2 linked regions of the Rhinolophus ferrumequinum genome follow. The protein of the gene in region 2 purifies or fractionates together with the protein of the main gene of each other region. This does not show direct contact. Links are inferred from orthologs where the notes say so. Each region holds a gene or a part of one and is shown on either strand. Other genes may lie near its edges.

Region 1 (7,615 bases), on a different chromosome or scaffold from region 2:
CAAGACCCTTGGCTGTCCACTCTGAAGGGAAGTGACCAGCCATGGCCTCACCCACCAGCTCCAGTCTGCCAAAATCTACAATCCTGCACGTGGGGCTCCCTTGGACCACGCTGGCTGTCCAGGGTGCAAGCACCCCAAACAGAAAAGCTCCCAGTTCAAAGGCAATGCCCATCACGGCACCCAGAGCCAACTCCGTTTGACACGAAGGGCCCACGTAGGCCTTCCCGATCAGCAGCCCCAGCACCCCACGCTGCCCACTCTGAGGCTCCAGCCCAGCCCCAGTCTGCAGACAGCTGCCACCTGGGCGCTGGCCTAGCCAAGGGCAGAAATGCCACCAAACACGCACACACTTGCACACGCGCACACGCGGCGGCCCCCACCAAGCCCTCATCTTCCCCAGCCCCTCCTCCGCTCGCCGAGACTGACACTCCGAGACTGACACTCCGCTGGAGGGGCGCCCAGAGAAAACCGGGCGGGAGCATCTATTCACAGATTCAGAAAAAAAGTTTGATGCAATAGCTGAATTAATTAGGCCTCCCAAGAATAGCTGAGCCAATGCAGCATTCTGTGTGTGCAATTTAATAAGCCCCTATATCTAAAAGTTACAAATACTTGGGGAGGGGGAGATGCCATGAAAAGTTGGGGAGACTTCAGTGATTGCTTTCGGCGTCTAGTGGCCAGGGAGCTGCCGGCCGGTCACACAGATCCCCTGCCAGGCAAACAACAGAGCCTTTGCTGGGCCCTCCCTGCCTGTCGCCGCGCCCTCCAGCGTTTCAGAGAGAGGGAGAGAAGGAAATGGGCGCGTCCAAAACAAATCACAGGCCACTGGCTACTCCAACTCAGGACCCCGGGTGCCGGCTGACCAGGCCCTGAGCCCGGTGCCCAGTGGCCCTCGCCCGCACCCGGGGAATCTGGATTCGCTCCCGAGCTCCCGGGCAGGCCTAGGGAGGTGCATAGAGCTGGAGGCGCCGAATCTCAGCCCTGACACTGCGCCTAGAAACCCAGGCTAGTTTTTGAGTCTGTCTCCCACGACTCCAAGGCACAAAGAGGCTCCGCTCGCCAAGTCCCGTCTGCCTGGGACCACAGGCAAGAACCCCTCTGTCGGGAACGCTGGGAGCTTCGGGGTGACGGCAGTGCCCTCTGCCCAGACCCGGGCTGGACCCCTCCTCTCGGCCCTGAAGAAGAAGGCCTGGGCCTCCAGCCCGAGCCTGGACGAGACCTAACTTCTCGGGACTTTGAGCAGGAGCAGCCCAGGTCTGCCGCCTGCCCTTCCCCGCCATGGGGCCTATCTGGGCAGTGGCCTCAGGGAGGCTTCTCCACCCACCAGGCGGGGGCCCAGGTCTCCCCGACCCCCCCCCCACACACACACAAGCAGGCATGTCCCAGAGATCGGGCAGGAGGAGAGGCTTCCTCCCAGGCTACTTGGTCATCAATGGACTCTCTGAAGCTACCCTGACAGTGCTTAAAACAAAGCAAACCCCTAAAACGGGAAAAAGGCAGAAGCGCAAGTCCCAGCCTGCACAGACAGTGAGCCCCTGGCCCAGGGGGCCTCCCCAGCGTCTCGGACCCGCCCCTCCCACGCCCGCAGGAGGGGCGGCGGGGACACTCACCCGGGGCACCCGCCGCTTGTACTTGTTGCCGTAGTCGAACTTCTCCTTCACGTCGTCCAGGCAGCGGCCGAGGCGCGCCTGCTCCTCCTTGCCCGTGTAGTCCTGGCTCAGCAGGATGTAGGCCCGCCAGTTGGCCGAGTCGAAGCCCCAGTGGCAGGTCCGGTTCTCAAGGGCTTTGTGCGAGTGCACCACGAACTTGTGCGGCGGGTACATGAGGCGGCAGTCGAGGCACTGGATGCAGGCGGCGCTCGGGCTGCTGTAGAGCTCGGGCACCAGCAGCCCCTTGCACTTGCCGAAGCACTCGTGGTACACGCGCACGCTGCGCTCGCTGAGCTCCAGGCCCAGCGCCAGGCTGGCGGCCAGCTCCTTCTTGCAGGGCGGCGGGTAGGCGCCGCCGTACAGCAGCGCGTTGCACAGGCGCTCCGCGTCCGTCTTGGTGATGAGCCCGCACGAGGGCGCCGAGAAGGGCAGAATGCCCATGACTTTGAGGATCTCCAGCTGGTCGGCCGTGCAGCGCGAGCAGTAGATGTGGAGCTCGTCGCACACCGAGTTGATCTGCTGCAGGGAGAAGTCGCGCAGCACCGAGTTCAGGATCTGCGGCAGGCACAGGCGCTTCTCGCCGCCCACCACGAAGCACGAGATGGTCTCGCCCTCCAGCACGGTCTCGCAGCGCTCGGTGGAGCGGTCGGACGGCATGAAGAAGGGCCCGGGCAACACGGGCGGCGGCGGCTGCAGGGCGGGCAGGTGCGTGAGCACAGGCGGCGGCTCGGTGGCCGCGGGCACAGGCGCCGGCACCGCGGCAGCGCCCGCCTCCTTGGCGCTCTCCTTCTTGTAGGCCTCCTGCGCCCAGCGCGCCGAGAAGGCGGCCGGGCCGCCCAGCGAGCTCATGGAGCTCAGGTGGAACTGCTCCAGCGTCTTCTGCAGCCCCGGGTGCGGCTGGAAGCCGCCGCGGCCTCCCGCCGTCGCCTCCATGGTGCGCTCCGATTCCGCGGGCCTCTCCCGCTCCCGCGCGCCCGGGCCCCCGCGGCCCCCGCCGCCGCCCCTCGCGCCCCGGCGGCGGCCTCGGCCCCGGCCCCGGCCGATCACGGCCGCGGCCTCGGCCTCGCCCGGGGGCGCGAAGGGGAAGGCGGGCGGGGCGAAGGGGTCCCGCCGCTGGAGCCCGCCGGCGCCCGGGCCCGGCGCCACATCCACGCGCCCCGCGCCGCGCCCGCCGCCGCCCGGGCCCCCCGCGCGCCCCCCGCGCGCCCCCCGGGCCCTAGGCGCGGGGCATGCCCCGGCGCGCGCCGCCAACGCCAACGCCAACGCTCGCGGGCCCGGGGCTCGCGGGGGGCGCGCGGGCAGGTGCCGGCGCCGCGAGGCGCGAATCGCCGCGGCGGCCGAGGCCGAGGGGCCCGGGAGGAGCGGGGGCGCGGGCGCGGGGCCCGCCGGGCCGTCCTCGCGCGGCGCGCCGCCGCCGCCCCGCTCCTCCCACCGCGCGGCGCCCGCCCGGCTCGTCCCGGCGGCGCTGGCCAGCCGCGTAGCGCACGCCGCCGGCCGCCCCGGCCCGGCCCGGCCCGCGCCCACCCCGCCGCCCGCGCCGGCTCCGCGGCCCGCCCGCCCCCCGCGCGCGCGGCTTCCGGGGCGGCGGAGCGCCTATGAGGCGGCCCTCAGAGCGCGGCGGCGGCGGCGGCGGCGCGGGGCTCGGCGCACATCCTCCCGGCGGCTCGCTCCGGCTCGGACTGAGCGCCGGGCGCTGAGCTCACGCCACCGCCCCGCCCCGCGCCCCGCCCCGCGCCGCCGCCCCGCCCCGCGCCGCCGTCTGGGACGCGCGTCCGCCCCAGCCAGCGTCGGCCAGGAATGCGACCGCCTCCCGGCCGGCTCTTCCAGGAATGCGCGCTCTCCCCGCCCGCACTCGGGCCTCTCGGCCGTGTTCGGCCGCGCTCGGGCCCAACCGCTAGGAACTCGGGTTCGATCGGAGACGCCCGCCTTAACCTCGACCCCGCTCGGCCCGGCCTCGGCCCCGCTCGGCTCCACTCGGTCCCGACGCCTGGGTCTCGGCCCCGCTCGGCTCCACTCGGCCCCGCCCACCCTGAAGTCGGCCGCGCTCGGCTTTACTCGGCCCCGCCCGCCGGAAGACCGCTCGGCAGGGGCGGCGGCGGCGCCGGAGGCCCCCTTTCCGGCCGAGGCCGCTTCCTGCGCGGCTGGGAGGGCTCTCGCCCCGACGCCGCCGCCGCCGCCGCCGCCGCCGCCGCCGCCTACGGGGCCCGGAAACCCACACGCGGCCCCGCCACAACCTCAGACCAGCTGAGAGGCGGACGGGACGCGACCGCGCAGCCCCACCGCACGCCTCGCGACTGCCGCACGACGGGGACGCCACGCAACACACCCTGAGGTCCCCACGCATGATGGGGATGTCATGTAGCATGACCCAGGTTTCCACACACGACAGGGACGCCACGTAACACATCTGGGGTCCCAAACACGACAGAGATGCCACAAAACACGACCCGGGGTCCACACACGATGGGGACCCCATGCAATAGGACCCAAGTCCCACACGCGAGTGAAATGCCACGCAACACATCCTGCGGTCCCCATACACAACGGGGATAGTGCGCCGTACTACCCAGGGACCCCAGACATGACGGGGAGTCCACACAACACACCCTGGGGCCCCCACGACTAGAACTCCACATAGTATGACCCAAGGTTCCACACAGGACAAGAACGCCCCACAACACACTATGGGTTACTAAACACGTTAGGGTGGCAGCACCTGAGACCCCACACGGACACCATGCAACCTGTCCCAGGACCCCACCTGACGCAGGTGCAGCACACAACCCCCCAGTATGATTGGCAAGCAGCACCCCCCAACCCATGTCCCTGTACCCTGATCCCTGCCACCAGGCCAGCAGGACCGCGACCGGCGGTGTCACATCCCAGCCTGTCCAGTGCAGGAGTGCCAGCTGCATGAGGAGGGCAGGTGGTGGCGGGCAGGTGCTGAGCGCCTGAAGTGACAGCCCGCATCCAAGGAGCTGTGCCCTGTGCCCACCAGCCGGGTTGCTGCCAGGGCCGGACCCACGGTGGGTCCTCAGAAACCCGGCCCCTGGTGCCCCAGGCAGGCTAGTGTGACCCTTACCCTGCAACCTCCCAGGCCAGAGAGCCACTTACACATCTCTAGGCCACCTGGGACGTGGCCCTGTTACCCGTCCTTACACACACGGGCTGGGCTGTGTGTCGTGGGGGACAGACAGAAAGTACCTGGTGGGAGAAGATGGGGTGGCTGGGTGGTCCCCGAGAAGGCAGCCCACAGAGGCCTGGGGTGGGGGTTTGAAATCAGGGGCAGTTCTGGCTGCGTTCAACTCCGAGCAGAGGGACATTCCCGCCGACCTGAGCTGTAGCACCTTTTTCTCCACAGAATGAGGGCACCCAAGCTGGCCTAGACACGGGGACGTGGGGACACCTGCAGTGCTGGGCAGGGGGGATGGGACCACACCCACTTCAGCCTGGGTGACCTTCAGCTTGTCACCTGCTGCTCCTACCTCTCCGGGGGAGGCTGGAACTGGCCCCAAACCAGTGCTCCTGGGGCAAGGCCTGCCCAGGGAGCTGACCCAGCATTTCCGCAGGCCTTGAGGTTCAGGCAGTTGTCTGGAGAGGCAGCTGGGGTGGTCAGGTGACCCCACACCTGCATGGCTGCAGACACAGGCAGGCGTCTTGGGGGGCTGAGATTCAGGGTGCAGAGCTCCATGTTTGAAAACCTGATCACTCCCCACCAAGGATGTGATCCCTTGCCCCACCCTCGACCCCTCCCCTGTGCCCTGGGGAGGCCCCCCCTTTTCAGTACTCTCATGTCTCCAACAATGGGCACCCCCAGCATAAGGCTTCTCTGCACAAACACGAGAAGACTGGGAAAGGGGTGTTAAAAACTGAAGAAGAAGGACTCATTTGTGTTGGGGACTCATTCTCTTGGTCCACATTTGTACCAAAAAGTTTATGTTGCACCTGAGAGTGTCTGTTCCTCCCACGTGGATTTGAATTCCACGCAGCTCAGTGACCTGCAATTGAAAGAAGGCGGTTGGGGCACCGGAGGGCTGGCCGGGAAGGGTTTCCAGCCAGGCACGGAATTCTTCCTGCTCTTTTGGCCAAGTGGGCACTACCCATACCCTCGTGAGCTGAGCAGGCTCCCACACTCCCCTTCCCTCTACACCCTTTGGCTTTGTGGGGCTCCAGGAAGGGGTCCCAGGAAGAGGCTGGCAGGAGACCCACACACTCACAGTGCAGTGGGGTGTGGGGGAGGGGTGAAGGGCCCAGAGATGGGGGGAAGGGCTGGTCTGAAAAACTTCTGCACCTCAATGGATGTTGAGGCCTCATCCTGTAAGATGGAATTTCCGGGAGTAGCCAAGCCCTGCCCACCCACCCAGGACCAGCCAGTCCGTCCTCCCCCCGAGCCTGCTGGGGGAGCTTCCACCTGCTGGCCTAGCTCCCTCCAACCCATCCCAGCAGCTACTCAGGCCAGTGGCCCACTCCTCCCACTGTCCTGCTGCCACGGGCCAGGCACCATGACAGCAGGTAGAGAGGCCAGGGCACAGGCACAGCCGCACTGGGGACTGGGGACTGGGGACAGGCAGGGACCCACTACACCTGGCCCTTGCCCCGCCGGGGAAGGAGTCGAGAGCTCCCCATGTGGCTTCCATCTCCTACCAGGTGACTGAAAAGGCCGGACAACACGGTCAGTGCAGGACTGGGACCCAGCAGGCCCCAAGGAGGCCTCGAGGGGCTGGGGGCTGCCGTGGAGCACGCAGCACTCCAGGACCAGAGATGAGGGTGCTGGAACTGACAGGGCCCCTGGCCTCGAGAGGCGCTCCAAGGTCCACCTGTGAGATGGGCTGGTAGGCTCAGTCAGCAGGCCCCTCTGAGAGACCCTGCCCGAGGCTTGCCCTGGGTGGACCTGTTCTGCCCTCCCAGCTCCCACCTGCCCCTACCCCCTCCTCCTTGGGAAGCAGAAGGGAACAGCTGGTTGCAGCCAGGCACAAACCGCCATTGTCAGGAAAGTGCTAAGATATTGTTTTAAAACTTTAAATTTGAAAATAAAATTACTCAAGTAACATGAGCTTGATAAAAATTTAGAAAAGACTTTTGTCTTAGTTTGGGTTCCACCAGCAGCAGACCCTGAGACAGAGGTGGGTGCAGACGGTTTGCTTGGGAGGCGATCCCAGGACATATAGTTGGGGGCCGGGGGTGAGGGGAGAGAAGCAGGATGAGGGTATTCTGTGCAGCCTGCCACCCTCGGGCTCCTGGAGCTGGATCCTGGGGTGAAGGGTGAGGGGACAGCCCCTGGAGCAGGGAGATTGACCAAATAAGGGAACACATTCTAGGTAAGGAGAGTCCGGTTTCTCACTGTTAGAGACGGGAAGTCAAATGCAGGCAGGGTTAAGTGGCCCATGTGGTGTGGCACCTGCGTGAGCCCATTCATTTCAATATTTAGAAACAAGTAGAAGAGCTGTGCGCGCGGGCATGTTTGTACGAACCTCCCTCCGTATGAGCCGCGGCTCAGTCCAGAGAGAAGCCCCGACGGGAGCAATGCCCCAGCAGCACTGAGCACGCCGAGAACCCGCATCATGGCTTCTAAGTTCCATCTGCACTAGAAGGAACCAGAGGTCTTTAGAGAAATGGCTGGTCCCAGCGCTCCGGCAGGGAGGGTCCACGATGAGTCTGGAACATCTCACTGTGCCAGGACGTGTGGAAGGACTCAAAGCATAACAGGGACACTCCAGAAGGACACTCAGCCTCCCGAAGGTCCCCCCAGGGGAAATCAGAGATGATTATGGTAACCATGGATTAGAAGCACGGAATAAAACGGCACCACGACTCCATGCGGATTCAAATATTTATTAGAATAAATGGATTCGTAAGTTGGAAGTTTGAAAAGGTGGCCTATCTGCATAGTTTTAAATTTCCTCCCACAAGGTTCCCAGGAATCACAAAGGGAAGAAGAGTGAGCTCCCAGGGGAGGTGCTGGCAGG
Region 2 (7,480 bases):
TATCAGCACCCCCAAAGCATGTCTCTCCACTACCGAATGGAAAGCTACTTAAACGCAGACTAGACATCTCTGCATTTCTGTTCAATTTTTTCAGAAATTCAGAGTTCTGTAAACCTTCCGCTCTTTCAGAAAAAAAAAATCAGCATTCCTGGCCAGTTCAGCCTTTCCACTATAAACAAAATCCATGTACCACCCATATCTGAAGTATAACGCCAGACTCCTGCTTAGCTGCCCCTGTAATATGGTTTAATTATGATGACTGAACTAATAGGCTGACATCATAGACTTTTACAGGCTGACCCCATGTCATCCTGATGTATCATTTTGCACCAGTTCAGTGCTGTAAATCAATTTAAGATCTCAAGCAGGTTGAAAAGGCTGGTAATGATGCTTTCTCTGCTGTCTCTGGAGACTCTACATTATACACAACTTACATTATTTATAAAGCCTCAATGATGCCTCCATTAGCCTTGTAAGACTACACAAATGAGATCTTTTATACACACACAACTTGGCCTTGATTATGTAGGCGACTGCAGTTTAAATATACTCGTCTAATTACACTCAAGTTTATTCTTTTTGTTCAAGTTTATTCTTTTTCCAATCTAACCAAGTTACTATGTTTTATCTTTAATCCAGAATTATTAGAAATCACAATTACAGTCTGAAATTTAGTTTTTAACTAACAAATATATTTAGGAAAATGAGACTTACTTCCTCTTAATACTTTAATGAACTCAGTAGAAAGGAATTAATTATTAAACTCCAAGAGGTGGAAGAGCTTAAAAATTTTAATTGCCTAAAGAGTGCCATTCCTCCAAAATGCAAAGGTCCTCAGCTCTTCAAGGGTATAAAATCAAAGGGTACTGAAAATAGGAAAAATGGATTTGGTTACACACCTATGGTTGGAGGGATCAAAACTAAATCAAGGACAAATCCCTACCCTTAGAAGAAACCCGATACCACCTGGATCCTCCAAAGGCTCTAGCATCACCCACCTCTAGAAAATCATCTCTCAGGACCCTGGTTACAGTTTCCTAAAAATTGCAGTGTTACACAAATGTACACCACCTGCACAGAAATATCAAATAACTGCAAAGGGGAAAGAAAGAGGGCGGGAGAGGGGAGAACAAACACTTTCACCAGTATTGCCTATTAGGCCAGGTACCTCCATCAGAATAACACTGACGCAGAATATTTATATGAATTGAAAATGCTGGGGCGGTGAACACTGCCTCTACCTCCATTCTTTTTCAACAGTTCCAGTACAGCTCACCCACCTCCAATAAAATGTAAAGTGGTAATTATCAGCAAGGTGAAAAATCAACATGGGCAGAGAACAGTTTTCTCATTACTGAACGTGGGCATGTTATCCACGGCAGGCAGTTAGAGCAAGAAATGTTCGGAAATAAAGGCATTCTGTGATTTAGGTGCTGAGAGTGTCAGTCACAGGAAAGACACACCGAAATCATGCAACTTCTGTATCAATTTCCCCTACTTTGCAACTTCAGATACAATGGAAAGAGAACATTGGGAGGAAGAAAAAGGCCAGTTGTCAACAGCACTCACGAAAACGATGCTTTCTCAGGAGATGGTTCTGAGCCGCGCCTCATTTTCAGAAGGGAAGCCTTCGCCTTCCTGGAGATCTCGCACAGTGTATTTAAAAATCGTAAGCGCCTCAAAATAAACAAAAGCCGCACCACTGTAGTTGTGAGATCCGGCGGGCGTCTGTCCTTCCTCACTTCCTAAGTACAGTAGGGAAACGCTCTCCCTTTAAGCCTTCATATGTATTTGGCAACTAGAAAAACAAGCCCACGTCTCTCTCTGCTCTCACACCCACCACCCCCACCTTCTACAGAAACAACCCCGAGAAACCCTCACAAAGCCAGGGAGCAAAGTAAAAGAACAGTTGTTCAACAGCGAACTCACAAATACACATGCAGTGAGGCAATCGAATCCGGTCAAGGGAAAGGAATGAGACGACACTTGGAGACGCAGGCGGGTGTAGGCGGAAGAGGAAAAAAAAAAAATTACGCGCCGCCGCCAAACCTTTGAATAAATTAGAGGGAATTTCGGTGCGAACTTCCCTTGACCTCGACCCCCAAGAGGGTCGTTGGGGCAGAGAAGGGAACCTGTCTGGGACGCGGAGGGACCCAGGGCACCGGGTGTCCCCTTCCTGCGAGACCGGCTCCCCGAGGCGCCGAGTGCTTAAAGGGCAGCGCCGGCGGCCGCCCTCCAACTCCCGCAAGGGTGCCCGGGCCGGCGCGGGACACAATGGGCCCGCCGGCCGCGCGGACGGGCCTGGGCCCGGCTGCAGGAAAGGAAAGGGAAACAGAGAGCGGGCGGAGGGGGAGGGTGGCCCGGAGGTCCCGCAGGTCCCGCCGCGGGCAGGGCCGGGGGCGAGGCTCCAGCGAAGGAACGCGGCTTCCCCACCGCAGACCCAACAAAGACGCAAGGGGAATCCCGGCCGAGCCCGGGGCGGCCGGTGGGGGCGAGAGAAGAAGGTGGCAGGTTCGCTCCTCAGAGCGACTGGGAGACGCCATCATGGGGGAGGGGGGGTCCCCGTTCCGACCCACGCGGGGAAGAGCCGCCTCCCCGCCGCGGCCCGCGCCGGGCCCTGCCGATCGCGGCCGCCCTGCGGGCCCGCGCCCGTCCCATCTGAGGCAGCGGCGGCGCTGGAAAGTCCAGGGTGCCGACAGGCGGGCGGGGACGCGGCAGAGGGGAAAGTTGGGATCGGGTATGTTTCGTTTTACCGGGTTGGCGACGCGCCCGTCCGCGCGGGCGCACGAGTGGCCGGACGAGCGGGGTCCCGCGGCCCCGGTCCGGCCGGCCAGGCGCTGCGCTCGCAGGGTCCCTCCCCGCGCCTCGGCCCGGGCTGAGCCGCTCGGCCTCTCCTTCCTCCTCCCGCCCGCCCTCTCGCTCCCGGAGCCTGGATTGATCTGGTCGTGCTGGCGTCAGGGAGTCGGAGCCGCCCAGCCTCCACTCCTCCGCTGCCAATACCCAGCGCACTCGCCCGCCCGCCCGCTCGTTTGCTCACACGCGCACCCGCGCGCCGCCGCCGCCGCCGCCGCCGCCGCGCGACCAGGGATCCTCTCCAAATTCCCCGCCCCGCCGGCGCGAGCGCGGCGCAGGGAGGCCAGAGGACCGCGAGGGGAGCGGCCCCAGCCCCCGGCCCCCTTGATTCCAGCAGGGAAAACAACGCGCATTCTTGCCTCCCCCTGCCTCCTTTCGTCCGGGTGAGCGGACTTGGTGCATTATCTGCAAGTGAAGTTCTGTGTTCAGCGTTTATTTTCTGAAATGTTCATTTACACGTCCACCGCGCCCACCGGAACGTTCTATTAATGTGGAGTACATGTTTGACAATTATCGTTTCAGACTCGCTTTTTGTGTCTAGTTTTCATTGCCCCTCACTTACTCCCCAATGATTTGCAAGCCTCGGAAGTTGCACGTACTCAGAATTGGATAGCCTGTGAACCAATACATGCGTGAGAATCAATTGCATGTGAATCAATACATGCGTTTCGTGCCTAATGGTTCGAGTAGGTAACCTCATTGCTCCAAATAATGACAGATGCCACAATAGCACTCTAAATTTTTGACCCAGTTTCTACAATCTTTTAGATGATACCCCTCCCCCCAATTAAAACAGACTAGCTCTCATCTACCTGATCTGCACAGACATTGAAAATACCTTTTTGTAAGAATTAATTTTTCTATTAACCAGCTCTCTGGAAGCTGGCATGAAATCTTGGATAATTACCATAACGTTATGTTTAGAGATGAATCCTGAGGAATAAATTTTACATGAACCACAAGTATCATTACCACCAAAATAAAATGTCAAAGACCTCTGTAAATTAATGGTACTTCTAGTTGTTCACATACGTTTACATGTACACATTCCATTTAAAATTCTTAACTATTTTACTATTTCTGCATTCCATGTTTAATTATCCAAAGAAAATGTAACAAACCCCACAAAACACAAAATAACAGTTTATAAATTATAGATCAGAATGTTTCTGCTAATTTCTTTGTTAAACTATTTGAGCACTTACTGGTCAATTCTTGGGCCTCATCTTATTTTTCCTAAAAGCAGCATTTGACACAGTTCATCATTCTCTGCTCCTTGGAACAACAGCTGGAGTGAGCCTTGTTAAATGCCACTTAGATCAGGTCCTTCTGTTCAAAACCCTTGATAAATAGAATGTGCTATCTCCATCCAATGGAACATTATTCAGTCATAAAAAGGAATGACACATGCTACATGGATAAACCTTGAGAACATTGTTAAGTGAAAGAAGTTAGGCACAGAAGACCACAAATTGTATACTTCTACCTACTGTATATAAAATATCTAGAATAGGCAAATAATCTACAGAGACAGAAAGTAGAATGGTGGTTGCCTATGTTTGGGGGAATGGAGGAGGTTAGATGGTGATAGCTAAAGGTTATGGGGTTTCTTTTGGGAGCTAACAAAATGTTCTAAAACTAGTTTGTGGTGATGGTTGCACAATTCTGTGGATGTACTAAAAATCATTGAATAATATACTTGAAATGGGTGAATTACATGGTATGTGAATTTTAGTTCAATAAAGCTATTTTTTTTAAAAGGAATGACAAATAAATGCAGTGTATGATCCTTGACTGGATCCTGGGTTAGGGACAAAAGCTATAAAATGACATTATAAAACTGTTAATTTGTTTAGCCAATGGATGACCTTTCTTAGTGAAATCCTACTAGCCCCAAATAGTAATTATTGATACTACACAATCTATGAAATTTGATTTTGCCCCTTGTGCAACTTATTTTTGTAAACAGGGATAGAAAATTGTATTTTAAAATAAAAGGACACTGCCATGGCCAAGCATTTGGTATTCAATGCCAAGAAGTAGAAAAATAAAGAATAAAAAAAAAGGATATTATTGGAACAATTATGAAAACTTGAATATGGGTTGTATACTAATATAGTATCAAAACAACAAAATCTTCCCTTGGCTTCCCATTTCACTCAAAGTAAAAGTTCTCACAATGTGTACAAGACTGTACATGATTTTTCCTCCCCGCCCTTCTCTACCACTCTACCCTGGTCTCCTATTCTCTACCTCGCTCACTTCCTCAAGTCACTCTGGCCTCCTTACAAGTCCTGGAACAACCTGGGCACACTGCTATGTCAGGACCTTTGCACTAACTGTTTCCTCTCTGGAAAGCCGGTACCACAGATGTCTACATGGGCCACTCCCTCAGCTCCCTCACGTCTTCACTCAAGGTTTCCTCTTGCAATGAAGTCTACCCTGGCCACTTTATTTAAAATTTCACACACACACACACACACACACACACACACACACACACACACACTGCATACCCCTCCCATTTTATATTCTCTTTCCCTGTTTGGCATGGATGGTTTACTTATCAGGACCTAACCTCTTACTTAGTCAAAAGCAATGTTCTGTTTATTACTATACTTTCAATGCCTGATAGGAGCTCATTAAATACCTGTTGAATGAACGAATCAAGTATTGTTCAAGTCACAGGAGATATGGTGGCAAAACAGAGAAAACTCCCTACTCTCATCAAGGAAGACAAATAATGAATACATACGGGCATGCAACACAGAAGGACACTTCAATCATCAACAGACCACATATATATACAATGGTGGTCCTATAAGATTATAATGGAGCTGAAAAATTCCTATTGTGATGTCATAGCACAAGGCATTGCCATGTGTTTGTGGTGACGCTGGTATACACAAGCCTGCTGTGCTGCCAGTCCTATAAAAGTATAGCGCATACAATCATGTACAGTCCATGAGAATTGATGATAATAAACGACTATGTAACTGGTTTATGGATTTACTATGATAGACTTTATCATTACTTTAGAGTGTTCTCTTTCTACTTATAAAAAAATAAAAAGTTTCCTAAATGCCAGGTTAGCAGCAGCCTCATACAGCTCATGCTTATCGAGTTTCTTGATTGCATCATTTTCTCTTGTGCTTGATTTAATCTCGTGTTGTTTCATACACTAATGTGCTGTCCAGGCTTGTAGCCTAGGAGCAATAGGCCAGATCACATGACCTAGTGTGTAGTAGGCTACACCATCTAGGTTCCTGTACGTACATTCTGTGATATGTTCATACAACAATAAAATAGCCCAAGAATGTATTTCTCAGTATTCAGATCGTTAAGCGGCCCTTGACTGTATATGAATATGCTAGGTGGTCATACATGGGATGGAAGCAGCAAGATTAGAGGGGTTGGGAATAGGGAGGTTGATATTTCTATAGGGAAAAGCTCACTGACAAGAGGTCCTGAAGGAAGAGGCAGCATGCCACATGACCTGGGAGGAGGTTTTCCAACCTCCCAAGCAGAGGTAAGAGAAGGGCAAAGACCCTGGAGCTGAGTCTCTTTCCCCCATTCACAGAAGAGCCACAAAGAGCCAGCCACAGGAGGGGAGGCGGAGTGTGTGGGCCCAAGTGCTCGTGGGCTAGTGGCTGTGGAGGTGGAAACACAGGAACCTTCTTTTCTGTCTGTTTCTCTTATCTTGGTGGGATAGCCATGCACCCTTTTTCCTGAGAATGGTGAGCGTGGAAGAGATGTTGGAGGATGTTTTTCCTGAGAATGGTGAGCGTGGAAGAGAGGAGCCGATATGCAGCACTGATATTCTGGGAGAGTTTGAGAGCAAATGAACATTGGAAATGTGGTGAGATTGCCAGGCAGAGCTCCTAACTGCCTCTTTGAGGTTAGTGGTCATGAATTTAAAGCAAGGCCAGTCAGCATGGCTGTGGATTCTTCTCCAGCCTCCTCAGCCATACGGGGCAGAGCTGGGTTTAACCAGGGCTGCAGTTGTACAGGTGGGTGTGATGGAGGGAGGGTATCTGAGAACAGAGGGTGTTAGCAAGGGTGTGACTATGCGGAACTGTGAGAAGGAGGGCCGAGAGGATACAAAGGAGTGGGGGCAAAGGGAGAGGTGAGAGGATTATAGATTGAAGGTCTCAGTGGGGTCCAAGAATTGCTGGAGTTAGGAACCACTCCCAACACCTGGGGAACAGCCTGAGAACAGGATGCTTGAAATTGAAATCACAGAGCTGGGACAGTTTGGGGTAATGCCAAGATCTAGTGTTGTGACCAGAGACAGCTGAGGCAGGTAGAGGACAGGATCCTGGATCCCAAGGTCCCTCCAAGTATGACTCTGACACACATTTTTGCCTGGTCTCCTTCACACTCCAACACACACGCTGGCAAATTTGCAACGATATTCCTCTATTTTATTTAAATATCATATCCTTTGTTCATACTTGGATATGATATTCCTCCTTTTTCATATTTAAAAGGCATTTAAACATGATATCCTTCGTTCATCCTTGGTATATGATCCTGGCTCCTCCAATTTTCAAAATTCTACCTATTCTTTAAGGCCTGACATCATCTTCTAGATATTAAGCAAACAAACAAAAACGATTTTTAAAGC

What was found. Proteins that work in one complex are often made in the same cells at the same time.
Region 1: the proteins of SMAD1 (region 2) and SKI purify together in Homo sapiens (affinity purification with western blotting, with the first as the bait; 3 studies listed by BioGRID). This does not show direct contact. The link is inferred for Rhinolophus ferrumequinum from reciprocal best matches to the Homo sapiens genes SMAD1 and SKI.

Annotation. Positions count from the first base shown.
Region 1 is NC_046292.1:1,024,970-1,032,584, reverse strand, and holds the start of SKI (ski oncogene), read right to left. Parts: upstream 3,007-7,615; 5' UTR 2,583-3,006; coding exon 1,611-2,582; intron 1-1,610. UniProt on the Homo sapiens protein: May play a role in terminal differentiation of skeletal muscle cells but not in the determination of cells to the myogenic lineage. Functions as a repressor of TGF-beta signaling.
Region 2 is NC_046301.1:18,788,622-18,796,101, reverse strand, and holds the start of SMAD1 (mothers against decapentaplegic homolog 1), read right to left. Parts: upstream 3,003-7,480; 5' UTR 2,754-3,002; intron 2,426-2,753; exon of another isoform or gene 1,570-2,425; intron 1-1,569. UniProt on the Homo sapiens protein: Transcriptional modulator that plays a role in various cellular processes, including embryonic development, cell differentiation, and tissue homeostasis.